4 linked regions of the Pelodiscus sinensis genome follow. The protein of the gene in region 2 interacts with the protein of the main gene of each other region in a pairwise test. Links are inferred from orthologs where the notes say so. Each region holds a gene or a part of one and is shown on either strand. Other genes may lie near its edges.

Region 1 (7,733 bases), on a different chromosome or scaffold from region 2:
GGAGAGGAATCGGAAGCTAGGCCTCACGGCGCCACGCACCGCCTGCTACTAACAGTTTTAAAATCCCAGGCCGTGACGTCATGTCACACCCAGGCATCTCCCCGCCCACCTGCAAACGCCGGCAGCATGCGCAGGCAAGGGGGAGATGAGCAGACTTCCAGGTGCGGGGCCTCCTTAGGCGTGGGGCCTGATTCGGCCAAATCGGCTTAAGGCCGGCCCTGCAGACAATGTATGAAGACTCAGTCTGAGTATGCAAGTGTACAGTGTAATAGTTGCTTGAATAATCTGTGTTAAAAAAAAAGAAAGTTTAAGATTGAAAGCTGTATTTTCAGATTTTATCAGCCATTGGTTAGACCCCAACCTAAATGTAAACTAAGTACAGGTTGAAGTTCACTAGTCCAGCACTCTCTGGTCTATCAAAATCCATTGTCTCAATGTCCACTTATGGGTGTGGCCAAGTTTCCCATAATCCCATAAAATTTCTTTGTCACCAGTCCGGGTTCTCACTGTTCTGTGCTGTTATTTAGCTCTAATTTACCCCAAATTTCTTCGAAGAGTCCAGTAAGCAGTGGAAGTGTTGGTAATCCCGCTAGTAACTACTGACCAGCAAATTCCCAAGGGTGCCAAACTAGAAAGGTTCAACTTGTACTATGACAATCAAAGCCATAAGCAGAGCCATGAAGGACGGGGGGGGGGGGGGGGGTACCCTTATGTTCTTAATGTTTAACCAGAAAAATAAATTTCTTTCTTCTATTTCAAAAACCCTAAACCACAGTGGTGCAGTCTTCCATATAAAACATTTATAAGTATAGTGACCCATTTATAATCCGAAACCCATTTAGATTATGCTTTATTTGTTGGATTCCCTAGCAATGCTAAATTCTAGGTCATTACTAGATCATTAAAATGAACTATTTTAATTCTTAAGAAGTCTCTATTTAGAAAATAAATCCCTCTGGACACTCCATGCTTCTTTGGCTCCACTTACACAGGATGCTACAACAGTACTAAAAACTAATTTAGGACACTGTTATAAGTGAAACAGTTTACAACCACATATATTATGCTTCCAAAAGATGTTTGAAATAGTCTGCAACACTCCCGTTTAAGATCTGATTCTGACAACAGCTTATTCTAAAATTTCTGATCTATACTGGGGAGAAATGTTAGATGCAGAGAGACAACGATATCAAATGAATCTGTTTAGCTTGATATCTAAACTCCCACCCTCCTGCAGCTGGCAATTCCACATATACACTGCCAAAATATTAAAAATTTAGTGTTAATAAAGGTATCATTGCTAAACACACAAGACTAAATTTCTGATCAACCATAGCGAAAATAAAGAGACCAGCACTTAATTTCAGAATGGAAGAATGAATTTGGTTAAGGCACCATTAGAGGAAATGTAGCATTATTCTGAATAAATGTTTTATCTTGCCCACCTTTATAACGTCTAAATACCTAGATGACCTACACCAACCTCACTGATTAGACAGGAATCTGTGCAATCCCAAGCATGTTGTCAATGATCAATAATAATCCAAGCACACCCATTCATTTCCCCCTGCCTTCTCTCCCAACAGTGTACAGTATTATAAAACTTCTACCACACCCATCTGTGATGTCACTAGCATTACACAACCTGTCCCCCTCCATATCCCATCTGCTTATGCAACTAGGCCTTGCCTGCTGGGAACTGTCTTAGTGACACACTTGAGAGGCTAAGAAAAAAGGCCTTTCTTTGTAACGAAAGCAAATACAGCTGGCATGGTTCTGAGAGACCATCTCCTTCCAACAACGTCTATGTTAGAGGGAGGGCACAGCTATGCTGGGAAAATAGTGTGGAGTAGAGCTGTAGCAAGTGTGCCCCACTCCACACATAACCCTCACATGTTCACCACCCACTCCTCAGAAAGCCCCACGTTTCTGGTTCTCTCCCTACTCATTCCTCTGGGGAGTTAGCAACATTAGCAAAAGTCATCTCTGGAGCTCTAGCATGCGTCAGGCTTGTTTCAAAGGGCCGAACCCTGCGCCAGTTTCCCCTCGTGATTTCAGCAGCTTACTTCATTCCCAGCTTCGACTCGTACCCGACTGATTCCTGGCGGGCTAGACAGGGGACTGGGAGAAGGGGGGCAGGGAGAAGACGAAGCGTCAGAGGACTGACAAGAAAAGCCAGCTCCTTGCGACACAGCCGAGGAGCCAAGACTCTGCCTGTCGTGTCACCCAACCGAAGCGCCCCCTGGGCTACAGAGCTGAGCTCCCCTAACCCCAGTCCGTTACCTGCTTGCAGGGCCTGGCTGACGGCGCTTAGGCTCTCTCGAAAGCGCCCCTGGCTCAACAGCTCCCCCAGCCGGCTGCCGGTCCTTGCCCTCTCACACTCGGCCGGGAACCACTTCTCCGCCAACTGACTGAGCACGACGCTGGTCCGGAGCTGGGGCGGCCCGGCGGGCAGCAACAGGTCCCGGCACAGGCGGCAGCGGGAGCGTAGCTCCCTCCGGAGGCAGAGGCGGCAGTAGCTGTGCCCACACCGGGCGGTCACCGGCTCGCCCAGGAAGCCCCGGCAGCCGCAGCAAGTCAGCGGCCCCGCGGCCGAGCCGCCGCCGCCCTCCCCCGGAGTCCCCTGACCGCGGCTCCCGCCCAGCCCCTGTCGGAAGCGGTAGTTCAGCACCAGGCAGTCCACGAGGGTCTCGAGGCGGTGGGGTCCCGCAGGCGGCCCGAGCCGCAGCGCCGCCGAATAAGTCTCCAGCGCTTCCTTCAGATGATTGCCCAGGGCCAGCAGCTCCCCGCGCCGCAGCAGCCGCTCCTGCTCCCCTTCGGGCTCCCCGCGGGGCCGCCCGCTGCCCCCCGACTCCGGGGACCCCTCCGAGCTCACAGCCACCGACGACGCCATCCTGCTGCGAGCCCCCACCCTGCCCCGCGAGCCGCCCGGATCCCACAAGGGGGTGTGGCGCTCGCCGCGCCGCTCCGGCTCCTCGCCAGGCTGGGCTCGGCTCTGCGCACGGCCCTGTGCTGGCACTGGCGGCAGGGGGAGGGGCACGGGACCGGGGAACGAGCGCGCCCTAGCGCGACAGCCTGACGGAGGGGTCGTTAGACCGTTACCCCCTTTCAAACCTCGGCGCAGACCGGCGGGTGAATCCCCGCCGCTGGCTTACATAAAAAGCTGCGTCAGCTGACCACAACGGGCACTCTCCATTGGCTGAGAGGCACGGCGTGGGGGAAGGGGCGGAGGAGATTACAAAACACAGTTCGACGCTCCCCGCGTGCCAGAGCTCCGCGAGGAGAGGGCGGGGCCTGGAGGCGTGCAGGCGCCCAGGGCGGAGCCCGCCCGGGAAGTGGGCGGGGCCTGAGGCAGTAGGAGGAGACTGCGCATGTGAAGCTCCCGCCCTGGGGAGGTTAGAGCCCCGCTGTAGTGGGAGCTGCGAGGCAGCCTCTCTGCGGGGCTGGGCGGGACCCCGTGTACAAGAGGCTGTCACAGGCAGCGAAGACTCGGCCCTGTTGTGCTGCGAATGCCTGATCCTCTGCGCTACAGCGTCCCCTATAGGGGGACCTATAGGACAGTACCTTCCCCCTTCGCTCACACCCCCGCCGCCAAACACGTGCACTTCTTTTTTCACAGCGGTGCCCACGCCGGCGGGCCTCTGGCTCCAGATGCTTCTTTGAGCCTGCGCAGGTGTTTGGAAGTGCCGGACTGCCCCTGGGTGGTGCAGGGGGCATTGCAACTTACAGCATGGTGGGGACAGCGGGGCAGAAATTTTGGTGGCGTCAAGAATGCCTTGGAGAAGCACCCGCCCTGCAGACACCCTCTCCCTGTGCTGCAGCGCGCACGGGAAGCCATATGCCGGCAGCTGTGGGGCTCAAGCTCGGCTGTAGGGATGGTGGGGCCCTCCAAGGATTTTTAAGTCAGCTGGGAACGGCAGTCTGGGCCAGGGCACACACATGGGGTGGCAGGAAACAGCAGGTAGTGAACTTTGGTGAAGCCTGGACTGAGCAAAGAGTATTTCTGGACCTGGTGCATCACAGGCCCATATAACTCAGTGCCTGTTCTTAGAGGTAGAGACTGCTTATGATGTTGTAAAGCCAAAGAGCATCCCTCTTGAACCAGGATTGTACACTAGGCCCTGACCTATTAGGAGTTGGGTGGAATTTAAAGGGGTGAGTTAAAACCCTAATGGCTATGTCTAGACTACCCCCCTCTTACACAAGAGAATATTCAAATGAGGCAAAGAGTTGAGCATTGCCATGCCTCATTTGCTTACTTAATGAGCCACCATTTTTTGCACTAGGGGCTTTTGCGCAAGAGCTGTTCTGCTGCTTTTTTTCAGAAAGAACTGCTCTTGCGCAAGAGGGAGATTTTGCGCAAAAACGAGCTGTGTAGATGGCTCCTTTTTACGCAAACGTCCCTTACGCAAAAATGGCAGCTTAAGTATGCAAATGAGGCATGGCAATTTTCACCACTTTGCCTCATTTGCATATTCTCTTGCACAAGAGGGGGCAGTCTAGTCATAGCCAATAATATTAAAGGGTCACACATTAAAGTGAACATACCTGTAAGCATCAGCCCCATCTCAGATGAAAGGTGTGTCCAGGAGATTTGGAGCAGTGTTTACGTAGATGGTGGGGAGAACAGTGGGGAAGGGAGGACAGAGAAGAACCCAGAGAAAAACAAGAAACCCAATCAGAAGCCTATGACAGCATAAGAAAGACGATACTGGATCAGAACAAACCCCTGTATCTTGTCTTTTGCCAGTGGCCAATATCAGGTGCCCCACAAGGAAAGAACAGACCAGGTAGTCACTAAGTAATCCATGCCCTATCTCTGAATCCCTGACAAACAGAGGCTAGGGCCACCATCCCTGCTTATCCTGGCTGATAGCCATTGATGGACCTATCCTTCATGAATGTATCTAGTTCTTTTTTAAATTCTTTTATCGTCTTCGCCTTCATAACATCCTCTTGCTGACTGTGCACCCTGTGAAGAAATACTTCCTTTTGTTTGTTTTAAACCTGCTACTTATTTCATTGGGTGACCCCCTAATTCTTGTTATAGGAGGGAACGAATAACTGTTTCTTATTTGTTTTCTCCACATCAGTCATGCTTTTATAGACCTCTACCATATCCCCCTTAGTTGTCTCTTTTTCAAACTGGAAAGTCCCAGTCTAATTATTCTCTTATCAGAAATCATTCCATACCCCTAAACATTTTTGTTACCATTTCTGAATATTTTCCAAATCCAATATACCTTTTTTGAGATAAGGTGACCACATCTGCACACACTAATCAAAATGTGTGTGCACTGTGGATTTATAAAGAGGCAATAAGATATTTTCTGTCCCTTTCTTAATGATTCCCAACAGTCTATATGTTTTTTGACTGCAACTGCACATTGAGTGGATGTTTTCAGAGAACTATCCATGATGACTCCAGAATCTTTCATTTCAGTAGTAACATAATTTAGACCCTATCATTTTATATCGTGGCAGATCAAAGGCAGTGGGCTGCAGGAGTTTGGTGGACAGTAGGTACACCAGGGCTGTGTCTACCACTGCACCCCTTTTCTGGAAAAGGGATGCAGATGAGACAAGTCGGAATTGCAAATGAAGCGGGGGATTTAAATATCCCCGCTTCATTTGTATAAACATGGCTGCCACTTTTTTCCGGCGCGGGGCTTTGCCGGAAAAAAGTGCCAGTCTAGACGGGGATCTTTCGGAAAATAAAGCCTTTTCCGAAAGGTCCCTTATTCCTTATTCCAACAGCCCAGGAGTTGGATGAGTGGGTTCCTGTTTCCTGGATAGGCTGCCAAAGACTTTTGCTCAGTAACCAAGACAGTCAGGCACCTGAGAATCCTTCAGAGTTGTCCTGCAGAAGCAGGCCAATCGGAGACTTGCAGCCAGTTAAGGCCTGCTGGTCGACTATAAAAGGTTTGCCCCTCAGGTATGGGGGGGTGGGGAGGGAGGAGAAGAGTAATAGACCAGAGGGGAGGAAGTGCAGCATGAAGAAGCACTGAGAGAGGTTTTTACCAAAGTGCCAAGGAGAAGGTTTTGTGGGAGTGGCGAGGGAAATGGCCCAGGGGGAGGCTACTATTTTGTAGAATAAATGCAAAAGCCACAGTAGTGGCTGCCACTGAGGACCCTGGGCTGGAACCTGGAGTAACGGCTGGACTGGGTGCCCCCAATCCTTCCCATGCCTGGTAGGCTGCCACGGGGGGGAAGGAGACTCTAGGATCATGGAAGGGTTTACTCCCAAGCTAGTGACTTGCCTGTGATGAAGATGGCTTGTTAAGTGGGGACCTTTGCCTCTGGAATAGACGAAGTAGTGGGGGGGGGGTGTCACTGTGAGCCTCTGAGGCATAATAAAAATCCACAAGGAAGTGTGGGACTCAGTGGTATGACTGGAGCTCTGCCACAATGTGTGTAGTTGGGATTATTTTTTCCAATGTGCATTACTCTGCATTTATTAACATTGAATTTCATCTGCCATTTTGTTTCCCCGTCACCCAGTTTTGTGAGGTCATTTTTAAGTTCTTTGCAGTCTGCTGTGGACATAACTATCTTGACCAGTTTTGTATCTATAGTCCCTGGGGGCAGGGCTACCTCTCACTGCTGCCTCCCTCTGCTGGGGGTCCCAGTGGAGGGAACTGGGGGCCCCTGTGGGCACAGATTGCGTTGCGGAAGCCTCCCCTGCAGCCAGGTGGAGAGAAACTGCTTTTAAGCTGGCTCCCCCTAGCACCAGCTCCCCCCAGCTCCCTTCCCCCCGCCCTTTGTGGCCTCTCAAATAGAGGCCACAAGGGGAGAAATGTAAGTAGTCAACTAGATTAACTGATAAGCTTAGGTTTATCGGTTAATTGTATAGTTGACTTGTTTACATCCTAATACATGCTGGGAGTTGGACTTGCAGATCAAGATCAGCAAAAGGAGACCAGAGACTGGAATTTTCCATAGAACTTTGCAGAAGTTCACCAAAAGAGGGAGCAACCAGTACTGTGGAAGATGTAATCTGATCAGCATTATATCTGAAAGTACAGTTCTGTGTCTAATATGTATGATAGAGTGGATTCTGATCTAGTTCATGATCTCACTGAACAATTCAAACACATACATTTGGTTTGTAAAAAAAAGAGCAATTGGTGGTTTTGCATTATTGGTACTATGGTAAGAGCAGCCACAAAAACAGATTGTTATACATTTAAGGCAGACAAAGACAGTTGAAGGTATCTAGCAAAAGTTTCTGCCACAATATAGGAAAATGGGGATCACCACACTGATGGGGCAAAGGTTGTGGAGATACAAGGATCAGATGCTAAGTTTAGAACTGGGAAGTTAAATAACAGTAATTGGAGTTTGGCTATAGATTATATAATAGGATATATGATGTATATAAGGATAGCTGACACAATCTTAAATACAGTATATAAGTTATTAGATCAGACATGCTAAAAGGGCTATAGAATAGACAATCCCAAACTGAAATGTCTAATTAGTCTTAAGTGGAGATTGACTGAGCCAAATGTACCCGGGAAAATTGGGTCTGAAGATTGGAGCTCTAAAATTTGAGCAACAAATTCACTGTTCATTCACTATTTCTGAAACAGTGAATGATCTAATAATTGTCTTGGATTCCAATATGGCTGTTAGCCATGGTAGTTGATTCTAGGTAAGGTGTTATACAAATTTAGTCTGTGAAAATTCCCTTTTAAAAACATGGCTGTGACTTTCCCCGGGGTACAATGAGG
Region 2 (8,122 bases):
TGTTATAGACACTGTCTAGTATGGCCAATATACATGGCAGAGAGACAATGCTGGCACTTGATGGCATAGATCCCATTGATGGATGTACAGTTGTATGAGCCTCTGAAGTGGTGGCTGATGTGGTTACGTCCTGTGATGATGCCGCTTGTATAGATGTGTGGACAGAGTTGGCACCAGAGTTGATCACAGAGGTGGGTTCCTGGGTGAATATGATGGTGAACTATGTGGTTACGGGAAAGAATTGTCTGTAGGTGAGGATTGGCATGCCCCCAAGGCCTGTGAGAGTGAGGGGTCATTTTTCAGGATAGGTTGCAGATTGATAATAATGCACTGTAGGAGTTTAAGTTGGAGGCTTTAGGTAATGACCAGTTGTGTTCTATTGCTTTTTTTGTTGGGCCTATCTTGCAGAAGCTGATGCCTGGGTACTCGTCTGGCTCGGTCAATCCGTTTTTTCCACTTCTCCAGGTTAGTATTTAAGTTTTAAGTGACAGACCCTTCCCCCATGCTTTACAAAGTGGACTCTTGGACATGCATATACATAACTCAAAGGTGGTTTGAGCGAATTATTTCATGTAACCTATTGATCTTCATGTCATGATCTGCTGGTTCTGTTTATCTTACTCTGTTGTATGTGTCATTTGTGTGTACAAAATTCGACACAAGGAGTGGGGAATACTTGGTGAGTTTCAAATGTGTGAATGGGAGACATGGAGGGCGTTACCTGCAAATTCTAGATGAGCCACTGTTAAACAATCTTTTATCCTTAAGTCTGAGCAGTGGCTGGTAGGGAGTGGCCTCAACTCCTTAACAAAAGGAATAGGAAAGCAGAGGCCTGGATCTTTTGGCTGAGCTGCACCTGAAGGAAGGAGCCTGAGACCCCAGGCTGGGGAAGAGAACCCTGGTTTAGAGTGGCAGCTGGAAAAGAGATTTTAGGGTGAGTTTAAGTTTGCACTGAGGTTTCAGTGGAGAATTAGCCAAGCGGTTTTGTTTCTTTTGATTATTTGTAACCTACTTTGCTCTACCTACTTTCTCTTATTACTACTTAAATCCTACTGCTTCAACTTAATAAAACCATGTTTATCTTCTATCAAACCCAGTGTAAGCGATTGTTACCTGGGGAGGCAACCAGTGTGCACATTCCCCCTTTCATTGCTAAAGGGGGCTTACCTAATTCTTTGGGGTTTGATCCCATCTGGGGAGTGCTCTCTCAGGAGGCTGGGTTCTAAACTGCACTCTCCTAGGACCTGGAGTGGTTCAGTGTCTGTACTGCTTCTTCGTGGGGGCAGGGATCTCAGCTCAGGGCCTTGGCTGGGGGAGACCAACGGAACTGGCCCAGCCAGACCAGACAGTGAGGAGCCCCAGAGAGAAGGAAGGACAGTGGCAGTGGCGGTGTCAGCACCCTGGGAGGCAACCCCAAGGGGTCATCTGTGACCGCACCCCGTCACACAACTGACTGAGAAATGTGTGTTGAATGGAAGCTAGAGGCATGCAGGTAATTATAACAGTCGGTAGGTTTCCGCTATAAGGTGATGAAAATGTGACTGTCCTGTAATGATGCGTTTCCCAGGTCTGTGGATCTTGGGTAGCAGATATAAAGCTTCTGGTTGGTGTTTGTGAGTGTGTTTGTGTAAATCTGGTCCTGAGTTGTATCAGGAAGTTTAATGAGCAGGTGGTTTAGTTCTTTTTGGTGTTTAGTGGAATCATAGGAGAGAAGCCTGTAGAAGCTGGTGCTGGTGAGTTGTCTGGTAGCCTCCTGTTCATAATCTGTTCTGTGCATGCTGACTACAGAATTCTCTCAAGTTGGCACACTTACAGCAGGACTATCAGATTATACTGACTCCTCAAACCCTATGCCACCAACACTCTCAGCTACCAGGGGCAGCAGAGCGGGGTGGCATGCGGGAGCCAGTCCACGAGAGGAGCTTCTGATAGAAAGGCAGTAGCATGTGTTGGCAATGGCCCCTGTTTGTGGGGAGTCCAAGCTCCCAGCAGACAGAGGCTGCTACGCATTAAAAAAAAAAGTTACATATTTTTTAAAAACCCACGTTTTGTAATGTTTAAAAAAAAATCCTGTATTTTTCTACAGCCCGTACTTACATTACACCAGAGAACGGTGTGAGTTGCAGCAGCAAGATTTACAATATCTACCCACTACCCCAGCCAAATTAACACAACCTGCAAGAACAACCACAACCTCCTCTCCCCCCAAGGATTTACACTGTGATTCACAGGCAATAATTCCCATCCACAAACCTGCGACACCCACAAAGATACACAGACCGAGACCTTAGCATTCACCTACCAACAGGGCACCAGGGGCATTCTTTCCCCGTGCCCCCCAAGTCCTGCTCCTCCTGAGAGCTACACTGCCTTCCCTCCATGTCCTCACCCAAAGTACCCTTCAAACCCCATTCCCTACCTAAGCCCCTCCCCCATCTGAACTCCCCCTCAAAACCTACCCCTCAAACTCCGCCCCAACTAAGCCCCTCCCCCACCTTAACTCCCCCTCAACACCTACCACTCAAACCCCGCCCCTAACTAGGCTCCTCCCCCTCAACTCCTCCCCCTCAAACCCCGCCCCTAACTAAGCCCCTCCCCCGCCTTAACTCCCCCTCAACACCTACCCCTCAAACCCCGCCCCTAACTAGGCTCCTCCCCCTCAAACCCCGCCCCTAACTAGGCTCCTCCCCCTCAACACCTCCCCCTCAAACCCCGCCCCTAACTAGGCTCCTCCCCCTCAACACCTCCCCCTCAAACCCCGCCCCTAACTAGGCTCCTCCCCCTCAACACCTCCCCCTCAAACCCCGCCCCTAACTAGGCTCCTCCCCCTCAACACCTACCCCTCAAACCCCGCCCCTAACTAGGCTCCTCCCCCACCTTAACCCCCCCTCGCATTCCCTCCCGCTTCCAACGTCTCCTCTCCCTCGCGCACCCCCCCTATTAGTTCCCCTCCCCCACCTCTTCTCAGGGTCCCCATGCCCCCCCCAAAACGTCCTCCCCCACCATGCAAGCTCCGGAGTCCCCCCGCCCTCTTCTCCTCAGAGCCCCTTGCCCCCTCACCTTCCCATTCTTGGGGGTGCCATTGACGAACAGGGTGACCCGCCTCATGCTCCTACGATGCTTCTAAACCCGGAAACCAGCAGCGGTGACTGACAAGGCCGGGACCCAACCAGAGCCGCACTTCCCCCTCCTCTTGCCCAATAGAATGCAGAGGTGGGAGGGACGTTCATTGGTGCAGGTGTGTGGAGGTTAGGCAGGGAGAATTGACAGGGGGCGGTCTGCCTCGGGGGGGGGCGGGGTCTCGGTTGTAGCCAATCAGAACTCTTACAGTCAGGCAGCTTGAAAAGAGTAGGGCGTCACCCTTCACGGCCAAATGGCATGAGGCGTATTTGCATAAAAGGGGGGTCGACTCACTCCCCGCCTTCTGATTGGCTCGTGTATGTCACGTGAGGGAAGGACCGGCCGTTTGATGGGCTCTATTTCAAAACTAAGAACTCTCCAATCGCGACGAAGCTCTGTTCCCTGCGCGCTGCCGGGACTCGCTGCAGGGAAAAGAGTCCCGTGTCGCTGAGCCGCCGGCAGAGACTGAGCACCTAAGTCTGCCAGCGACAGCCTTCTTCTTTGCCCCTTCCATGAGGCGGATGGCACATGCGCAGATTGGTGGGGCTAGCAGGGGAGGCGCCTCAGCGCTGGCCCAGCCTGCGGAGGGATACGCACGTGCATGGAGGAGGCAGTGAGTTTGAATGTTAGAGGCGCGTCTAGCCTAGTGGAGTTTCCTCAGTCGGATCGTTCGGGATCCAGGAGCCGCTGGGGGTGAGGGGGGAGCGGAAGCAGGGGGAGGGGCGGGGGAGGCTAATGAGGGGGGCAGGGGGCGGGGGAGGCTAATGAGGGGGGTGGGGGGCGGGGGAGGCTAATGAGGGGGGCAGGGGGCGGGGGCGGGGGAGGCTGAGGGGGGGCGGGGGTGGGGTGGGGGAGGCTAATGAGGGGAGCAGATAATGGGGTGGGGGAGGCTAATGAGGGGGGGCGGGGGTGGGGGAGGCTAATGAGGGGGAGCAGATAACGGGGGTGAGGGAGGCTAATGAGGGGGGCAGGGGGCGGGGGAGGCTAATGAGGGGGAGCGGGGGTGGGGGAGGCTAATGAGGGGAGCAGATAATGGGGTGGGGGAGGCTAATGAGGGGGGGCGGGGGTGGGGGAGGCTAATGAGGGGGAGCAGATAACGGGGGTGAGGGAGGCTAATGAGGGGGGGCGGGGGTGGGGGAGGCTAATGAGGGGGAGCGGGGGTGGGGGAGGCTAATGAGGGGGAGCGGGGGTGGGGGAGGCTAATGAGGGGGGCAGGTATGATAGGAGTTGAGGAAATGCCCATGGAAACAACTGGTTGGAGAATGGGCTGGGGAGGGAGGAAGTTGCTGGCTGGGTGGATATTGCTTGATAGACCCTTGGGCACAGGGGCTCTTCTCTGCTGCCCCTCCTGGAGCTGTGTTGGCCCCTGTTACCGGGTTTCTTTTTGTCATGTGCTACATGCCCCTGTGATCCCCTTGAGAATATGTGGAATATGCTCCCTTTTCTCTTTGTGCGCGCCCCCCCCCTCCCTTCAAGCTGCATCCCCTTGGATGGGGGTCAAGAATGTGCAGCAGTGAGCAGCAGCTGTGACTCGGCATGCTTGCCCAACAAAATTTCCCGTCTTCTTTTCTACCCATTGCCCTCACTCTCCATTTCACCTTGTTGCCCAGTTGAATGACAGGCTTTCTGTACCACCAAGTGCTCCCAATCTATGGTCACATTTTAGTATGATAAAGGGAACAATGAAACAACTAAAAGTAGATAACCTGGGCCTCCCATTCATATATGTCAAACAATGCCACATGCACAGCATGGTATAACAGGCTTTTCCCCCTTCTTAAAACACCTGTTATTTTAAAGGATCAACTTACTCTTAATACTCTGTTCCATCTGCCAACTGGTGTTGAGCTTTTCAAAGCAGGAAGGCCCACTTTGATATTGAATAAACCTGCAGCATCATGTTGTTACAATGTTCTTTTAATAACATTTTGTCACAGCCTGACACACTTAGTTAAGCATTGTGATGCTCAGGTGCAAGACTTGTGCTTATACTGCTTTGAATTTTGGGCATGAATTTCTGTTTAACTTTTCACTATCCTATTTGCCATACTTAGATAACATCTTTTTATTTAAATGAACAAACTGATTTATCCTGTTGTGCTCTAGATGATCATTATCTCAGAAGCTGGATATTTCTTTAATGAAAGTGAGTACTGGCTTGTGCATTTTTAAAAAAACAACAAATGATATGGTAGCACTTTATAGACTAGCAAAACATGTAGATGGTGGTATTAGATTTCGTGAGGTGGTGATTTGGAAATCTCCACCGTAATGTTGAATTAGCTTAGATGGTTTTTGTGTTTAATATAGACATCAACATACGTCAGAATGTTATGCATATAAGATCTGATATTTACAGTAAACTTCATAGCTAACATTTCATGCTTCTCTCCATAGAATGGCAGCAGTATCTTCTAATGGCTTGATGTCTGCATGTTATGGTGATTGCTTTTACAAAAAAACATAATGACGACGTCTTAATGACAGACGCATGATTACAAGAGAGCAACAAGACTGGTCATATTTTTTTAAGCTCAGAAAACAGCACTGACAATGCGCAGAAAATCTAGACAAATTATAAATACTGTTGCTGATGTCAAAGAAAATTTGAAAGGACTTATTGAAGAAGAGAAGGTTTATTCTCTGCCCATTCCAAAAGACAAGTTTGTCAAAATGGATGAATCAAAAAGCTCATACCTTTCAGAAATTGAAAATTTAAATGACCTGAGATCTACACATGTATTTAAACCTGGAGTAAAATGCAACGAATACATAAGGAGAAAATCATATCAGAACAGCAAGGATGATAGTAAACTGGCAGTAAACAAAAGCCTTTCTTTTAAACTAAAGGGAAACTTACTTCAACCTTCCTTGTCCTTTTTGACAGCACACAAACCTCAAAGTCCTTTTTCAAAAGGCAGCCCTACATTCTTGGATGATGCAAGCTATGTGACACCTGATAAAGGTGAAGCAGATGTAAAACCAGATTGTGAAACATCAGAGAATGTAATGAAGACACCTGTTGATTTTGCAAGTGTAACTATAGCTGAATTTGGGATTACTCCAGAGTCTTTTACTGCTAAGCCATCTATAGGTAAGGGGTTAGCAAAGTGACTCTTGGAATGAATGTTTCAAAATACTGTGGTTCATTTGTGAATGAGAACATTCTCTTAAATATTTAATGGTGGTTGTGAATGGTGGTCCAGAAGATTTCAGGGCATTTGGGACAATTTCTGATAACACAGATATAGGTTTTATAAGTAGTGATTTGGAAATAGTACAGGAGATGGAAATTGTGAAGAATTGTCCAACATTCATTATAGCTGGTGTATAGAGTAATTTGCTATTAAACATGTGTTTTCTTGGGGAGAGGGGAAATACTATGACTTCCTAGAGCTCTGTTAAGCCTATTCATGGGAATAGGATCAGATGGAAGGAATTTTGAAAAGGTAACAGAGCTTTCTTCCTCCTACATTCTTTTATAGCCAAATTTGGCTATTTCTGTCAGTGGCATAGGCTCTTCATAAGTAAAACTAAGTGTGAGATTTCACGATCAGTAGGTAGACAGGGTTTCTTCCTGATGTCCAAATGACAGTAAATTTACACCTTGATAATTACACCATGATTGTTTCACAGCAATACTTTTTATGTATATTGTAGTGATGTTTACATCATCATTTTCTACTGTTCCTGTTTAAGGGCACAAAAGAGAGCAAAGGAGGATGTTAAATAGGTTGCTAAACATGTTTTCAAACCGATCTAGGAACTGTCAATATAGTTCTCCCATGGAAACAGTGTTAGACTTCAAATTAGGAATGTGGGTTTTTATTTTGTTTTGGCTTTTCTGATGCAAGGAAGCTGAGGGAGGGTAGTTTTGCATGGCACTATTCTCGCCCACTCACAGCCCCAAACCTGGGAATTCTAGCAGAACTTCTCATGAAAGTTTATGTTGGTCATACAGCATTAACTTTCTATCTTCTGGTTCTTGTACTGTGGAGAAGTGTTGAGTGAAGGAACATTCATGCTGTCAAGGAAGGGGATACCCAAGAGTTGATATGAAAGAGTTTTTCCTTTTGAGCTTTTTTGTTTTTACTTTCTGTAAAGACCTTTTCTTGTTTTCCCTTTCTGTATACCAGTACTGTGCCTGATTTCTGGATACACACAAAGCAAAGAAACTGTTCTATGCTTTCCGTGAGAGAGAGAGGGTGGGTGGACGCACGTGCGCACACACGACCTTCTTTCACCTCTTCCACAAAATTGTTGTGGAGTTTTCCTTCTCTAACAGTCTTTTGATTGTTCCTGTGAGTTATGTAATACACTATCAAGATTTCAAATGCTTGCAGTTTTTATTTTTTCTTCTAATGAAGACAACTGACCAAATACAAGACTTTATATAATGCCTACATTTTTTTAAATAGAAGCAATTTCCCTGGTATTTTTAAATACTTGTAAGTGTTCTCCTGAAGTTTCATTGTGCTTTTTCTTGCATTGTTCTTGTTTCAGAGAAATCCATGGCTTTAAAACTTAAGCGCAGATCTACAATTGGAGTACGGGGTTCCCCTGAAAATAATAGCCTTATTCAATATCTTGCCAAGCAAAAGATGAGGAGAACTGAAGACCCATTCAAAACGGTGGGAATTTTTTCAGAGTTGCGCAGCATGGCTAGCGGAGAAAATTAGCTTCATGTATTTGTGGTATCTGGAATGAATGGAACAGTGTTCTCTATTTTACTTTTGTAGCCAAGCTTTTTTTAGTTGAGATTTTGAATGTTAAGAAAATTACACTTAGAGCATGTTTATTCTACCATCTTAGTTAACCTATGTTTAGGGCGACTTAGTCACTAAAATAATTACTGTGGTGGCTGATCTCCATACTACCCACCTATCAGTCATGTGTGTCCTCTCAATGAGTGCTTCCACAGATTGAAGAGGAACTGTGGGGAGGGAGGGCTGAGAGCCAGAGCTCTCAACTTTCCACAGCTCCCTGCTGGAGCCCACCTATG
Region 3 (7,211 bases), on a different chromosome or scaffold from region 2:
ACACAGCCTAGGAGGGTAGTGAAGCACTGGAATGGGTTACCTAGGGAAGTAGTGGAGTCTCCATCCCTAGAGGTGTTTAAGTCTCAGCTTGACAAAGCCCTGGCCAGGTTGATTTAGTTGGGATTGGTCCTGCCTAGAGCAAGGGGCTGGACTCGATGACCTTCTAAGGTCTCTTCCAGCTCTATGGTTCTATGATAAGGAACCCCTAGGTTTGTCAAGGAAAAAAAAAAAAAAAAAAAGATGGGAACCCACCAATGCATGAAAACCACATTCCTTCCCCACCCCTTTGAGGCTCCATCCTCTCTGTTCCCCTCCTCTCTATCACTTGCTATCCCCAGCCCTTATACACTCTCACTGAGTTGAGACAGGAGACCTGGGGCTCAGGGGTGGGAATGAGGGATTTGGGTATGGGCGGGGTGAGAACTGCAAGCTCTGGGAGGGAATTTGGATGCAGAAGGGCACGCTGGCTTGGGGAGGGGGCTCCAGGATGGGAAGTGTTGGACTCAGGTGAAGGGTTGGGGTGCCAAGCAAGTCACAGGCTTGTGGATGTGAGGGTACAGGAATTTGGGTTGGATATGTGAGGGGCTCAGAGTAAGGAGGCTGTGAGTATGATGGGCTCAGGACACGGATCTGCGATGTGTGGATGGTGCAGGAGTGTTGGGACAGAAGAGTGAGGATGTGGGGATGCAGGATTGTGGGGATGTAAGAGGCTCAGGACAGGGGGTTCCAGTGTATGATAGGCTCAGATTTGGGGTCAGGCGGTGCAGGAGTGTTATGATGCTGCAGTGAGATGGGGATTTGGCCCCAACTGGGGGCATGTTGGCCAGACTCCATTTTCAAATAAAATATTATGTCAAACTCAAAAGGTTTTAGCATTGCCTTAATGAGAGGGGTGGGAAACCTGTTTTGAGTCAAAGGTCACTGTTCCACAGAAAAGTCAATTGGGGCCACACAAGTGAGATAAAAAAAACCCTCTACAAAACCCCCAAGCCTCACTAACATGGTCCCAACTGTGCTGGTGGAGGCAGAGTGCTAGTGGGTGCTGCGGCCAGGGAGAGTGTGCTGCTGAGTGGCAGGATGCTGGCACAGGTGACAGGGTGCTGGGGTCAGTGACATGGTCCTGCTGGGCACTGGGGTGGGTGGTAGGGTGCTGGACAAAGAACAGGGTGCTGCTGGGTGCTAGGATGGGTGGCAGAGTGCTGGGGCCAGGGACAGGGTGCTGCTGGGTGCTAGGGTGGATGGCAGCATACTGGGATTGGGGACAGGGTGCTGCTGGGTGCTAGGGTGGATGGCAGGGTGCTGGGGCCGGGGACTGCGGTGGATGGCAAGGTGCTGGGGCTAGGGACAGGGAGATGCAAGTGCTAGGGTGGATGACAGGGTCCTGGGATGGGTGGCAGTGCTGGGGCTGGGGACAAGGTGCTAGGCACAGTGTTGATGGGGGCAGGGGACAGGGTAATCGGGGGGGGGGGGGTCTGGGCAGGGGACAGGGGCAGCTGGAACCAGTACCTGGCAATTCTGCAGCACCTCTGGGTTCCAGGAAGTGTGTGACTACATTTCCCCTCCCCAAACAGCTGGTGTGCACACTGCCTGAACAGCAGGGGCTGTTGCACTCCAGCAACTTACTTCCATGATGCCATCCTGCAGGTAGGTAGGAGGGGAGTCCCAGGGCAGAAAGCGCTGCCTGCACAGTTGGAACTGCACAGACCTGGGTCTCCTGATCCCCCTCCCGCACCCGCACAGAAAGGCCACGGAATTACGTTACCAGGTGCCACAGCCATTCAGGCAGTGCGTGCCGGTTCCTTTGGGGAGGGGAAGTGCTTCCCTCCCCGCTGTGGGTCATGTGGGGTCACCCCTTTTTGGCACCCCCCCAGTGTGCCAGCTGGGAGCAGCTGTTCCATTCTTCCCATGCCTTGCTATGCCTCTGCATCACCAGGGAGGAAGGGGAAACAAGTGTGCTGCTTCTTTAAGAAAGCTGGTAGCTGGAGCTCTCTCTCTCTCTCTGTTAGAGGGGGTGGGGGAGTGCTGGCTCCTGGCAGAACCCCTACTTTCACTTTGCTGAACACCAATTGGGAAACACGATAAGCAAATGGTTAGCAGATAGTCAACAAGCTTGACAACTAGTCGCTCCCTGCCCCCTTTGCTGCCTCTATCAGAAAGAGGTAGGGGGGAGGGGTACTTCAAAGCAGCAGCACCCTGTGGAGCAGCTTTCAAATGCCACTGCAGGATCCCAGCATCAGGCTTCTCCCAGCTTTGAAATGCTGTGAGGAGCCTGACTCCAGGCTCCCACCACAATGTTTCAAAGTGGCAGCGCTGCTTGGAGCCTGGGCTCAGCTCAGTACTCCCCAGCTGACCCTGGGCTCCATGTGGAGCTTTCGCCTTTAAAGTGCAGCAAGGGCCCTACGGCTGTTTCTACACTTCAAAGGCAGAGACACCTTATGGACAGTCAAATAGTTGATACTTTAACAAAACAATAAATCAACTTCACATCCGACTGTCCCTGCTCCTCGTGCCCTGCTGCAGCTCGGAGCCAGGAACTCCGACTCCATTACCCGGCTGAGCCACCCGGCAGCAGTGACAGTGGCTCAGGCCCGGGTGTCAACACCTGACTCCCGCGGAGTGTCAGCGGCCGGCCCAGGCGCCTCTAGCGTCTCGCGCGAGTGTCATGACGCGCAGCGCTGGGCGCGGTTACTGGTCCCGCCCCCGCCCCGGCAGGAGGGAGAGCTCGTCGGGCCCGGGACCGCGCAGCCATGATGGGACGGGTCCCGAGGCCGGCCAGGCAGCAGCTCCCGCCGGGAAGCCGCAGGCGCTGCCAGGCCTGTGGGCAGCTGCCCAGCTGGCAGCGCCCTCAGCCCCGGCAGCGCTACCACGTGGGGCACGGGGAGCCCGCAGCGACACACACGGGGAGCCAGGCCGCTGACACGGCGGCCCCGGGTCTGTCCCTCCTGCCCCGCGGCAACAACGGCCCCTGCTCACCAGCCGGCGGCAGCTCCATGGCGAAGGCCGCCATCGCGCGGAGACCCACAACCGCGGGAAGCAGCAGCCGCCGCGGCGAACACTTTCAAACAGAGCGGAAGCTCAGCCTGCCGCGAGGCGCGCTGGGGTTACGTCACTTCCCGCCTCGCCCGGCAGCCATCTTGCGGGAGAGTGTCTTCGGGACAGGAAGGGGCGCGGCCACGGCAACTTTGAGGCTGTTTGGCATTCGCATCTCTTAGCTACTGCTCTGCCCCGCCAGGGAACCTCGGACGCGTGATGCCGCCGATAAAGAGCCCCCTCCCCTCCCCTCCCCTCCCCTCCCCGTTGCCATGCCGGGCTCATCGCTATCGCTCTGTGAGGTTGTCACGTGCCCAGCACCACGTCTCGCGCCCCCTCCCGAATCCCAACCGCTGGCCGCAGTACAAGGGGGGGGGCTGGGCAGGGCTTTGGAGGAGGGACAGGCTCGCGGGTTAAGGGGCGGGGTAGAGCGTAGGTTGCCTTTCAGATCCCAGGGCGGGCTTCTTGGGGTTCACCTCCCTGAGGCCATTTCTTTTTTTATGGATTTGCTAGTTGCCTGGGAAGTAATTTAATTTGCCTGGTTTTATAAGGGTCTAAAGATTTGCATCATCATTACAAATAAAATACTAGGCGACCTCATGTTAAATGTTTGTGTCCAACTAAGGACGCTGCAGTGTTCCCCTTTCCCCCATTTAAATAACAAAATAGTTGAAAAAACAAGAGCTGTCTGCACACCACAGTCCAAGTGCATTGTGAGTGTGAGAGGGTTTGAGGTACACAAGAATAAGGGCGATGTAAGAGATTAGTCAATGAGTTGACTACTCGCATTCCCCTCCCCCCCTTGCAGCCTCTATATCAGAGGCAGCAAAGGGGGGTGAGCAGGAGCTAGTGTGGGGGGAGCCAGCTTAAAAACCCATTTCCCCCCAGCACTGTCTCCCCCACAGGTCCCTGCTTCCTCTGAGGCAGGGAGGTGCGCCCCTGGTTGTGGGGGGTCCTAATGAGAAGTTGGGATGCCCCCCACCCCACAGATGGGCTGCTGCTGCTGCGAAGCAATCCCTGGTTGCATCCAGGCGTCATGGCCAGGGGTTGCTTCAGGGATAGCAGCCCCAGTCCGTGGGGAGTGCCAGCTTCCCACTGGGACCTTCCATGGACAGGAGCTGCTACTGGCTGGGCAGGCAGCCCAGCTCAGTCCTGACATGTGCTGAGACCAAACTGCACTACAGCTTTGCAATTTAAAAAGGCAGTAGGATCCCCTACTGGCCCCAAGCTCCTGGCAGCACTTTGCTTTTGAAATGTGCAAGAGCCCCTGCAGATCACCCTGCTCTTGCTTCATTTCAAGGGCAGAAGCACTGCCAGTTCCCCACTGCACCCCTGTCCCTTCTCCACACAGTGACGGTGCTGGGGGAACTGGCTTTTAAGCCAGCTTCTCCCCAGCTCTGGGTCCTGCTCTCCCCTGCCCCCCCTTGCTGCCTCTCTCCACTCTTTCCAATAGAGGCGGCGGGGGGGGGGGGGGGGAGGGAAGAAGGGGGTGGAACAACTCATCAAGTCACTAGTCAACTACCCAACAATAAGCGTTTGCTTATTGCATAGTCAACTAGTCACTTACATCCCTATTGTTAACGTTCCTGATAATAGACTTGGGGTATACTTTCCAGTTTAGCTTATACGTGATTTGCCAATAATGATCAAATACAGTGGCCATAATTTATAAATATCAATATCTATCAAGTCATATTACCAATGCCCAAAGGCACTATATATTTATAGCCAAACTTCTCAGTTGTCCCTCATTTTACACACACATTTATACTCAACCCACCCAACCCCTGTATTGTTTCATTTCTACTGCAAATTGAAACATCAGAAATGTGGAATCGTGAAACCAAACATCTTGCCTGTAGTAAAGAAATTAAATCTAAACTTTTAAAGCTCACACCTATTTTTTTCTTGACTTTCTCACCTTGAGATATTTATCCCAATTATGAAGGCTGGACAATGAGGCAAATAACTTAAAGAAAAAAAACTAATTTTTCCACCATCATCTTACCTCTTTTAGGTAGCTCAGCTTCAAACTTCTGTTTTTGTCACTACTTCTTTATATCATCTCAAATTCAGTTTTAAACCAGTTAATATTACTGGTTTCAATGGGTGCAAATGAGGGCAGTATTTTCTCCTTGTTCTCGAAGAAAGTGTACACAACATTGTGGGTTGTAATATATTAACTATAACCTGGGACTTGCAGAGTGGACAGCTTCAGAGAGTGCAAACTGGAACTGTAGTTTTGTACTCTGAAAAAACAAAACTTTTTTTGAACAGGCCTAAGTACTGTGTGTTGCAGGGGATAAAAAGGAAAAGGTAAGTTTTCCCCTCCTGTTTTGGAGACTAAGGTCACTGAAAATTCCACTGGAAGCACTTCCTTTATTCTTACGGAGGTTTGTGGCCAGCCTCTGAACAGGATGCAAGAAGGGAAGGGAAGGCTCCTTACTGTCTGGCCAACCCACAGAATTCAATAAAAATCTGTCTTGCCTTGCAAGATCAACGTAAGAGCAAACACCAACACATTTTATAATAAGAACCATTTATTATCTAGATTTTAGGACAAGCTAGAATGGGTAAAGATTGGACTTGGTATTAAAGTAAATGGAGTAAGTTTATTATCTGAGCCTGTATTTTATTTTCTTTTTCTGTTGCTACTACCACAGACAGTTCAGTTAAAACTACCATTTCAAACAAAGCAGAACTTATTTGATTGTTCTCTCACCACCCTGGGAAAGACATACAGCTGCTCCCCGAGTTGCGAACGGTTGAGTTACGACTGTTCGCACTTACGACCAAAGCTCCCATGGAGCAGTCATAAAGGCGGTCCCCGAGGTATGAACGCGACCTGCGCTTACGAACAGCGCGGTCGCGTGTAACTAAATGGGGTCCAAGTTCATAACTCAGAGGCTGTATTCAATGGAAGAATGTCGGGAAAAAGCTGGTCTCTAAGTTAGGTTGGGAACCACTTTTTCATACTGCTGACCGGCAAACCCTTTCACAAACTTTTGGCAGACCAGCCACATTTTATTTGCGTATTCTTTATGTAAATAATAAATATGTAAATAAAATGTTACCAGCCGAGCAGCCAGCAGTAGGCAGACCAGCAACAGTCTACAGACCAGCAGATGGGAACTGCTGCTCTAAGCTACACTAATTGATCCAGATATCAAATCACAAATAAAAAGCAGAAGTATTAATTGTGGGGAAAATGAATTTACCCTCCTCTCACTCGTAGATCTTTAAATTCAGAAATGACAGTTCAAGGCAGGGTTACTCAACCTTGGAAAGCCTGAGGGCCACAATGATACTCTCAGCATATGCCAAGAGCTGCAACTTAAGTGTGGTTGCATATACTTGCAAATATATATGCAAATAGCTTCTTTCACATTGATGGGCATGAATACAAAGATTAAGGCAAGAATACACCACACACACGCCCCATTTAAGTCAGTTCTGCTGATATTAATAAAATGCAGTATTTACCCAATTTCTACCCATGGAGAGCACTTCTAATGAGTAATGACAGTCCAGGAATTTAACTACTGAAACATATACAGGCAGTCCCCGACTTACGCGGATCCGACTTATGTCGGATCCGCACTTACGAACGGGGCTTTCTCGCCCCGGAGCGCACAGGCAGCAGTCAGCCACCTCGACCTCCGGGGCGAGAAAAGCTGCTCCCGGTGCCCCTGGTCTGCTGGGGACCGTCTCCAGCAGACCAGGGACACCGCGAGCAAACCCGCAACCGTGGCGGGGTCCTGCACTTCTGAGGCTTTGCTCTGGCAAAGCCTCAGAAGCGCGGGGACCCAGCCGCGGCTGCGGGTTTGCTCGCGGTGCCCCTGGTCTGCTGGGGACCGTCTCCAGCAAACCAGGGGCACCAGGAGCAAAGCGGTCCCGCGCCAGAGCAAAGCCTCAGAGGCGAGGCACCCCCCCCCCGCTGCCGCTTTGCTCCCTGTGTCCTAGTGTGCCCCCCTCCCCCAGCAGACCAGGCTTTTGTTGTGGACCCTGGGGCAGAGCAGCTGGGGCGCTGCCGGTTGGTCCCGCAGTGCCGCTCTGGGCACTACTGGACCAACCCGGCAGCACCCCAGCTGCTCTGCCCCAGGCGTCCCCAAGTCAGCCATTGCTGAAACTGACCAGCGTTGACTACAGGAAGCCCGAGGCACAGTTGCTCTGCCCCGGGC
Region 4 (7,758 bases), on a different chromosome or scaffold from region 2:
TCATTCGACATGTAAGACATCTCTTGGATGCCTTCTTTGTCTTCTCTTTGCAAAGTTGACAATAGATCGATGCTCGGGTTTTGTCAAATCTCCACCTCAGAAAGCCATGTCTGCGCATGTATCTCCTAGCTAGTTTGGCTCTCAAATAATTCATGTTCAGCTGTATTTTATTAGTGTAAGGGAGGCAGTGTGCTTTCACACACACTGGGCATATGATGATGAAGAAGTTCTCAGTTACTTCAGCCTGGGCTTTTCTTTTATCTATACACTTCTCACAAATGCAGTGGTTGCATGGCAGCATAAATGGGTAGAGATATAGTTGTTTACACAATGGACAAGTGAGCTGGTCACGAAAAGCATGTCCTGATGCATCTCTCTCCAGTGTAATGATTGATGTGTCACTTTTACTTCGAAACCTTGGTAAGGCAACTTTTGAACTGAAAAATAACCCCCCCCCCAAAATGGATTCTCGGTAAGAAACAGATTCTAATGCACATGGTCATGTTGTACAACCCCATCAATTTCTATTTTCCCCAAGATTTTTATTTAAAGAAACAGGTTACGACTGTGCTTTCTTCTGCCAGCAGTACATGCAATGAGCATTTCTGTTCACAGTAATAGTTGCATATTGGTTTGTACAGTGTATATGAAGCTGCCTGTTTTATTTTGCAAGATATTCCTTTTGCCATTACCAACCACAAGTGTTGCAGCTGTTACACAAACATCACTAGCAAACACCTGTATTTAATTTCATCTCTTTTTCTTGTTTATATGCTTTGCATGTTAAATTATAATGAGTTGTTATACATGTGAATAGTAAAATAAAAAGGTACCTCAACAACTGCATCTAACTGTAGTTTGACTTACAAGGAGAATCAAAGTCAGTGTTATAATGGCACCTTATTGCCAACTCAAGATTCTTTGTGGACAAAAGTTTAAAAAGTGAGTTGGGTGTTTTAAAGTTTTCAATGCCTGACTTGGGATGCCTTAAAAAAGCCTGATTTTCAGAAAGTGCTCTGTAAGTCAGGCTATGTCTAATGTGTATCCAGCAGGGCACTTGGAATCTTCCTGGTCACTTTTGAAAAACTTGGCCAACTGTCTCTCCACGATCATTCCAATGAAGATGACATAAGCTCAGTTGGTTAATATAGTCACTAGAACGATGAGATAAAATTGCTGCCTCATCATTCAGTCTTTGCTGTAGACTTGGCTGTGGCTTTGTACCCACTCCCTGCTTCTCTAATGCTGCCTTCACTCCTACTTTTCTTTCCTCTCCATGCTTGTTGCTGCTGTTTAATCCCATATTCCAAAGCTCCTCACACACTCCCACATTGCTGCTTCTCCCCCTCGGCTGTTGCCTGTCCCCTCCTGCATGTATCAATTATTGTGTGTAATATCATAAATAAACAGATTCTTCCTAGTGCTGCCCTTTCAGAGCCAGAGTTACATATTTTAAAGGCAAGAATCACTTACGTGTCATGTAGCTCAGCAGATCAATCAGTTTTTTTCTCTACTCGCAGTCTAACTTTTTATTGTTACTAGCACTACTTTGGTCTGGCTACAATTTCTCAGAGCCATATCTCCCCCTCCCCCCATTGTGGTTCCTTAATGTAATCTATGCTTGGTGCTGTACGTATTTCAATTCCCTCCCCTCAAAACTAGCATCATCCCATCTTTTTACTCTTTTGAGAAGATTTTTTATGCAATTGACTCTTCATTTTCCTCTACTCCCATACCTTGCCCACCATTTTCTATTAGAGTACATTTAGACTATGGGATAAAGTAAAATTAATATACACAACTTCAGGTACATTAATTGCGTAGCTGAGGTTGAAGTACCTTAACTCGACTTTTGGCGCTGTCTACACAGCAGGAAGTTGAAGCGAGAATGTTCTCCCTTCGACTTCTCTTACTTCTTGTGAAAGCAGGGCTACCGGCATTGACTGGACCATCCCTCACAGTCCAAATTGGCTGTCTTAACGTGACATGCTAATTCGAACCCTGGAAGACTGACAGCGGCAGCTTCGATCTTCCTCTAGAGTACACATACCCTCAGTCAGCATTTTTCTCTTACATCAGACTTCATATGCCTCTTTCGAAAGCATGTGTCCCATCTCACTGCACACTCCTCTCTTTCATTTTCTCGGGCTTTCACTCACTTAGGCTACGTCTAGACTGCCTAAAAAGCTACTTCTTTTGAAAAAGCCTCTTTCAAAAAAGAGCGTGTAGATTACAACCATTTCTTTTTCAAAAAAGCAAGCCGCCTTTTTGAAAGAGAGCATCCAGACTACCTGGATGCTCTCTTTCGAAAAAGCACAGTTTGTATTACATAGAGCCTTTTTTTGAAAGAGCACTTTCAAAAAAAGGCGTTATTCCTTATGAAACGAGGTTTACCATGGTTGAAAAAAAAAACTGCGTTCTTTCAATTTATTGTTGAAATAATGAGGCAGTAATCTAGATGCAGATAAAGATTTTTTGAAAAAAGGCCACTTTTTTCGAAAAATCCCTGCAGTCTAGACACACCTTAGAGCTGGGGGGAATTTGTTAAAATCCAAACAGTTCACAAAACAGAGTCCTTTTCATAGAATTTTCAGCCTTGAATAAATTTCAGGAAAAAAGTTTTGAAAAATTGTCAAACCATTTTGATATTTTCTAAATGAAAAATTCTAATTGCCCACTTCAAAATATCTTTTTTTTTTAAATCTATAGCTTAAAGAGCAACAGCAAAATGGAGCATTTTGAAATGATGGAAATAAAACATTTCATTTGATCCAAATTGAAATAAAAGTTCAGGGTGTGAGTTTGGTTTTGGGGTACACAGATGATTTTTTAAATTTTCCTCCTGATTCAGAATCATTCTTCCAATGCACTTACTGGTGTCGTCTTCTGGCTCTGGGAAGGTATGATGCATAGAGGGTATTCCTGCAGCATCTGCTTTCATAATATTGGCAGGTGGTGTTCTCTGAAGTACAGCAACAGCATTTGCAGTCTGGGTCATTTGAACAGGAGCAGCAGCACCAACGACAATTTGGATTCTCTGAACACGAGCAGTGACAACACTGGCAAGCTCTGCCTTCTGCATATGGGCAGGGGCAACAGCTACAATTCCGCTCATCAGTGAAGAAAAAACGCCAGCATGAACAGCATTCTTGATCAGTCCTTTGCAGTGGGGGGCAGCAACGGCAGCCTGGGCAACATGGCCAGCTGAGGCATAACATACTGACCATTGTTCCACAAAACACTGATCACTTTACACAGTAGCACTTTTTAAATAGCTTTGAGCTGGGGTAAATGGTTCTCATTCCAGTTAGGAATAATGATGTCACAAGGAGCTATTTAACAAAGGACAATGTAAGTGATGTGCTGATTACATCACGTTTATGTCACAATTACTAAGATCGACCTGTGCTGTTTCTTGTATTGGTACTAGCAGAATTGCATGTGAGCTAGCAGCAGCCACATCTCCCCACATCCAGTGGTGCTTATGAATTTCCAGCAGAAAAGTCTGAACTGTGCTGAAACTTTGGGAGCACCATAATATAAATGGAACGCAATATAAAATAAACACAAGTAACACTACACTGCTTGTATTATTCGTGACTTTATTGAAAGAAATCATTTGCCTCAGAATGTCTAAAGTACAGGCAGTCCCCGACTTACGCGGATCCGACTTATGTCGGATCCGCAGTTATGAACAGGGCTTTTCTCGCCCCGGAGGACACGGACTGCGGGACCTTGCGGTCCCACCGCCCGTGTACTCCGGGGCGAGAAAAGCTGCTCCGCGTCTCCCTGGTCTGCAGACCAGGAAGACGCGGAGCAAAGCTGCGGAGGGGCTCAGGCAGCGGGGCAGCCCAGGTGCGCCTGGGCTGTCTCGCTGCCGGCTTCCCCCGAGGCTTTGCAAAGCCTCGGGGGAAGCTGGCAGCGGGACAGCCCAGGCGCACCTGGGCTGCCCCGCAGCCCCAGCCCCTCGGAACTGTCTTCCAGATTCAGCCGCTGCTGAAACTGACCAGCGGCTGACTACAGGAAGCCTGAGGCAGAGTTGCTCTGCCCCGGGCTTCTTGGAATCAGCCGCTGATCAGTTTCAGCAGCGGCTGACTTGGGGACACCTGGGGCAGAGCAGCTGGGGTGCTGCCCAGTTGGCCCCCGCAGCGCTGCCCCTGCGGGGACCTACCCGGCACGCCCCAGCTGCTCTGTCCTAGGCATCCAGATTCAGCTGTTGTTGAAACTGATCAGCGGCTGATTCCAGGCAGCCCAGGGCAGAGCAACTCTGCCTCGGGCTTCCTGTAGTCAGCCGCTGGTCAGTTTCAGCAGCGGCTGAATCTGGAAGCCAGTTCCGACTTACATACAAATTCAACTTAAGAACAAACCTATAGTCCCTATCTTGTACGTAACCGGGGACTGCCTGTACTGCAGATACATAGGGAGCCTTTCAGCACAATGTAGATGCAGCTTGCCACAGAGAACATGAGGATTTTTCTCCTACCATTATATGGGCGTATCTTTTTCAGGGAAGATGACCACTCACCCCACTCCTGTATCATCCTTCAAAATTCCTCCTCTTCCAGTTTCTTCCCATCACTTTGGATTGGTGATGTAAAGACTTCATTCCTAGAGGCACAATTTCAGCATCTACCCTTTATATCTGCATGATATCCATTTACAGATGAGAAACAGCAGGATTTTCAGAGGGATTAAGTGTATTATCCCAGTTCATGGAGAAAGTCTGCGGCAAAGCCAGCAAGGGTATGTCTACACTAGCTCAGTAGTTCGAGCTAGATAGGCAAATGAGGGTAGGATCTCTAATTCGAAGTAGCGGTACACCTCTTTCTGTGTAGCCACGGGCACGGAGTTCGGACTAAGGGGGATTTAAAAATGATGGCACCCAGGAAGATGCAAATGAAGCCCGGGATATTTAAATCCCGGGCTTTATTTGCAACTCCGGTTGCCCTCATTTGCCTACCTAGCTCGAACTACCGAGCTAGGGTAGACATACCCTAAGTGAATCAAGGATGCCTAAGAGCTGGCCCTGTGTCCTCAGTACAAGACCTTCCCGTTGAAGATAGTTTTTCCTTCCAAACATTACAAAGTTGACAATTTTTATCATGGATCCAATCTTGATTCTTTTGATAGTCTGCTCCAGGCTCCTGAAAGGCCTCTGCTGCTACAGACAGATCCCAAGGAAAGGGGTTCAGTCCTGTTCTACATGAAAGCTGGTGTAACTCATAGCCATTGAGGATGCATCTATGCTAAACTGTTATTTCAGAATAACAGTCATTATTCTGAAATAACAATGTGAGCGTCTATACAGCAATTCCATTATTTCACCTTCCCCAACCACCTGATGTAAATTTCTGTAAACTGCCTGCCATGGTCTAACAAGGCCTGGAGGACCATAGAAAAGTATTTCTTGTGATTAATGTAGAGAGATTCCCGGTGGTCGAGGGCCTGGATGGAGACGTGGGTGCCATCAATAGCCCCCCCCTGCAGTTGGGGAAGCCCATGGTGGCAAAGCCAGTGACGGTGAGGTCCATGTTGTTGAGCTGGATGACCCTGCACAGCAGGATGGTGTTGATGGCTGTCCCCACCTACAGAAGGAGACAAAGAATCACTGGGGTGACAGAGTCCTTGAGAGGCCACCAAGCCCCCCCCTTTCATGCCCACCCACACCAGGTGCCACCCTCTAATGTAGCCATCCCCCCTTTCCCTAGACTTTCCCTTTCCAGCACTTTACCTACCCCCCTCCTGGTATTGCAGCCTGAGAGTGCCATACCTGCACAATGAGGACCTGAATGGTCAACTTCCCCATGCCAAACTGATTGCCAATGGATCTCTAACTTTCCAGCATGGCGAGCTTCCAGATAGCGATGGCGACCCACTTCTCCATGGAGATGGGGGGTTTTATCTGAGTGTCCCATCATGTGAGGGCAGGGGCAAGTCAGGCACACAGCTCCAGAAAGTTCTTCTTCCTCATTCGGATATTCTGGAGCCACTGCTGGTTGCCCCACTGCTCCATCACAAGCCGGTCCCACCAGTTGGAACTGGTGTCCAGCTGCTAGAAGTGGTGGTGCACAATGGGGTGCAGGTGGAAGAATTGTACTCCCAGACAGAGGTTGAGGCTTCCCTCGAACAGCTGGGGGTCCATTTTTCTGGTGTACCTATACATAGTGGCTTGGTAGAATCTTCTGACAACTATTACTGTACTTCGCTTAACAATAAACCTGACTGGGCACCTTTGATCCTTATCTGATTTGTGTCTTTGCGGGCTTTCTTGAAGTCTGCTGTGTTAACTAACTCTACAAGTCAACACAGCACACATCACTGAGCACATGCAAGCAGCCTTCTAGTTATCATCATTGACAGAGCAGAAGACCTATCAGGACACCACAACAGTAAATCCTGACCTGACAATAATGGTGGCTCCTGAAGACTCTGTTCCCTACCCAAATTTGTCTAAATGGATGAAGACCTGACAGTAGATGGTATGTCTGATGCCGATGTCATTCACTGGCATGGGAAGGGAATGGTTGACTTAGCACTGACGGCATTTCTCAGGAAATACAAGAAAATGTTAATCCCTCACAAACCCATGCAAGGGACCTTCTATGCTTCCCGAGATACAAACAAAGGAACCATGGCCAAGGCACTATTATGGAAGGAATTTTCAAACTATTTGACACATAAAGGGCCACAACTGACATTCTGAAGAAAACCTATAACATTAACAACCTCCCTCAGAGCACCATCCTTTGCCGCCTACCAACACTTCCTTCCTATACAAAAACATCCCTCCCAATGATAGAATTGCTGCCTATCTCAAATGTTTACAAGAAAATGGGCAACACTCAGATGTCTACCCCAAACACATCACCAAACTTATCCATTTCATCCTCACCCATAACAATTTTACATTCAATGACAAACAGTTCATCCAAACGACTGAAACAACCATGGAGAGTAGGGTGTCTTTACAATATATCAATCTCTTTATGGGTTGTATTCAGGAAGAATTTCTGGATAAGTACATCAGAAAAGCAATTCTTCAGCTGCTCCCCGTAGGTCATGGGCTTTAGCCCCCTAATCATTTTGATTGCCTTCCACTGGACCCACATCCTTTCTGTAGTGGGGGGGCCCAGAACTGGATACAATACTGTAGATGTGGCCTCACCAGTGCTGAATAAAGGGGAATAACCACGTCTCTAGATCTGCTGGAAATGCTCCTCCTAATGCACCCTAATATTCCTTTAGCCTTCTTGTCTACATGGATACACTGTTGACTCATATTCAGCTTCACATCCATTGTAATCCCCAGGTCCTTTTCTGCCAAACTGCTGCTTATCCAGTTGGTTTCCAGCCTGTAACAGTGATTGGGATTCTTCCAGCCCAAGTGTAAGACTCTGCACATGTTCTTATTAAACCTCATCAGATTTCTTTTGGCCCAATCCTCCAATTTGCCTAGGTCACTCTGACCCCTATCCCTGCCCTCCTTCATATCTACCTTTCCCCCAACTTAATTTCATCTGAATACTTGCTGAGGGTGCAATCCATCCCCTCATCCAGGTCATTAATAAAGATGTTGAATAAAACCAGCCAGAGAACTGATACTCGAGGCACCCCGCTTGAAACCAACCGCCAACCAGACATTGAGCTGTTGATCATTACCCATTGGGCCCAACAATCTAGCCAGCTTTCTATGCACTTTACAGTCCATTTATCCAATCCATACTTCCTTAACTTGCTGTCAAGAACTATTTGGGAGAT

What was found.
Region 1: the proteins of KCTD9 (region 2) and LONRF1 interact in binary tests that used the Homo sapiens proteins (3 or more experiments, as listed by UniProt). The two-hybrid records come from large-scale screens. The link is inferred for Pelodiscus sinensis from reciprocal best matches to the Homo sapiens genes KCTD9 and LONRF1.
Region 3: the proteins of KCTD9 (region 2) and NUP35 interact in binary tests that used the Homo sapiens proteins (3 or more experiments, as listed by UniProt). The two-hybrid records come from large-scale screens. The link is inferred for Pelodiscus sinensis from reciprocal best matches to the Homo sapiens genes KCTD9 and NUP35.
Region 4: the proteins of KCTD9 (region 2) and TRIM42 interact in binary tests that used the Homo sapiens proteins (3 or more experiments, as listed by UniProt). The two-hybrid records come from large-scale screens. The link is inferred for Pelodiscus sinensis from reciprocal best matches to the Homo sapiens genes KCTD9 and TRIM42.

What each region holds. Positions count from the first base shown.
Region 1 is NC_134715.1:84,012,496-84,020,228, reverse strand, and holds the start of LONRF1 (LON peptidase N-terminal domain and RING finger protein 1), read right to left. Parts: upstream 3,265-7,733; 5' UTR 2,894-3,264; coding exon 2,284-2,893; intron 1-2,283.
Region 2 is NC_134738.1:9,382,745-9,390,866, reverse strand, and holds the start of KCTD9 (BTB/POZ domain-containing protein KCTD9), read right to left. Parts: upstream 3,303-8,122; 5' UTR 3,109-3,302; coding exon 3,061-3,108; intron 1-3,060. Other genes in the region: CDCA2 (cell division cycle-associated protein 2), read left to right, coding at 5,674-6,214, 7,624-7,751. UniProt on the Homo sapiens protein: Substrate-specific adapter of a BCR (BTB-CUL3-RBX1) E3 ubiquitin-protein ligase complex, which mediates the ubiquitination of target proteins, leading to their degradation by the proteasome.
Region 3 is NC_134717.1:49,734,100-49,741,310, reverse strand, and holds the start of NUP35 (nucleoporin NUP35), read right to left. Parts: upstream 3,258-7,211; 5' UTR 3,008-3,257; coding exon 2,974-3,007; intron 1-2,973. UniProt on the Homo sapiens protein: Functions as a component of the nuclear pore complex (NPC).
Region 4 is NC_134720.1:12,775,000-12,782,757, reverse strand, and holds the start of TRIM42 (tripartite motif-containing protein 42), read right to left. Parts: upstream 3,299-7,758; 5' UTR 3,228-3,298; coding exon 2,875-3,227; intron 1,272-2,874; exon of another isoform or gene 848-1,271; coding exon of another isoform or gene 834-847; intron 438-833; coding exon 1-437.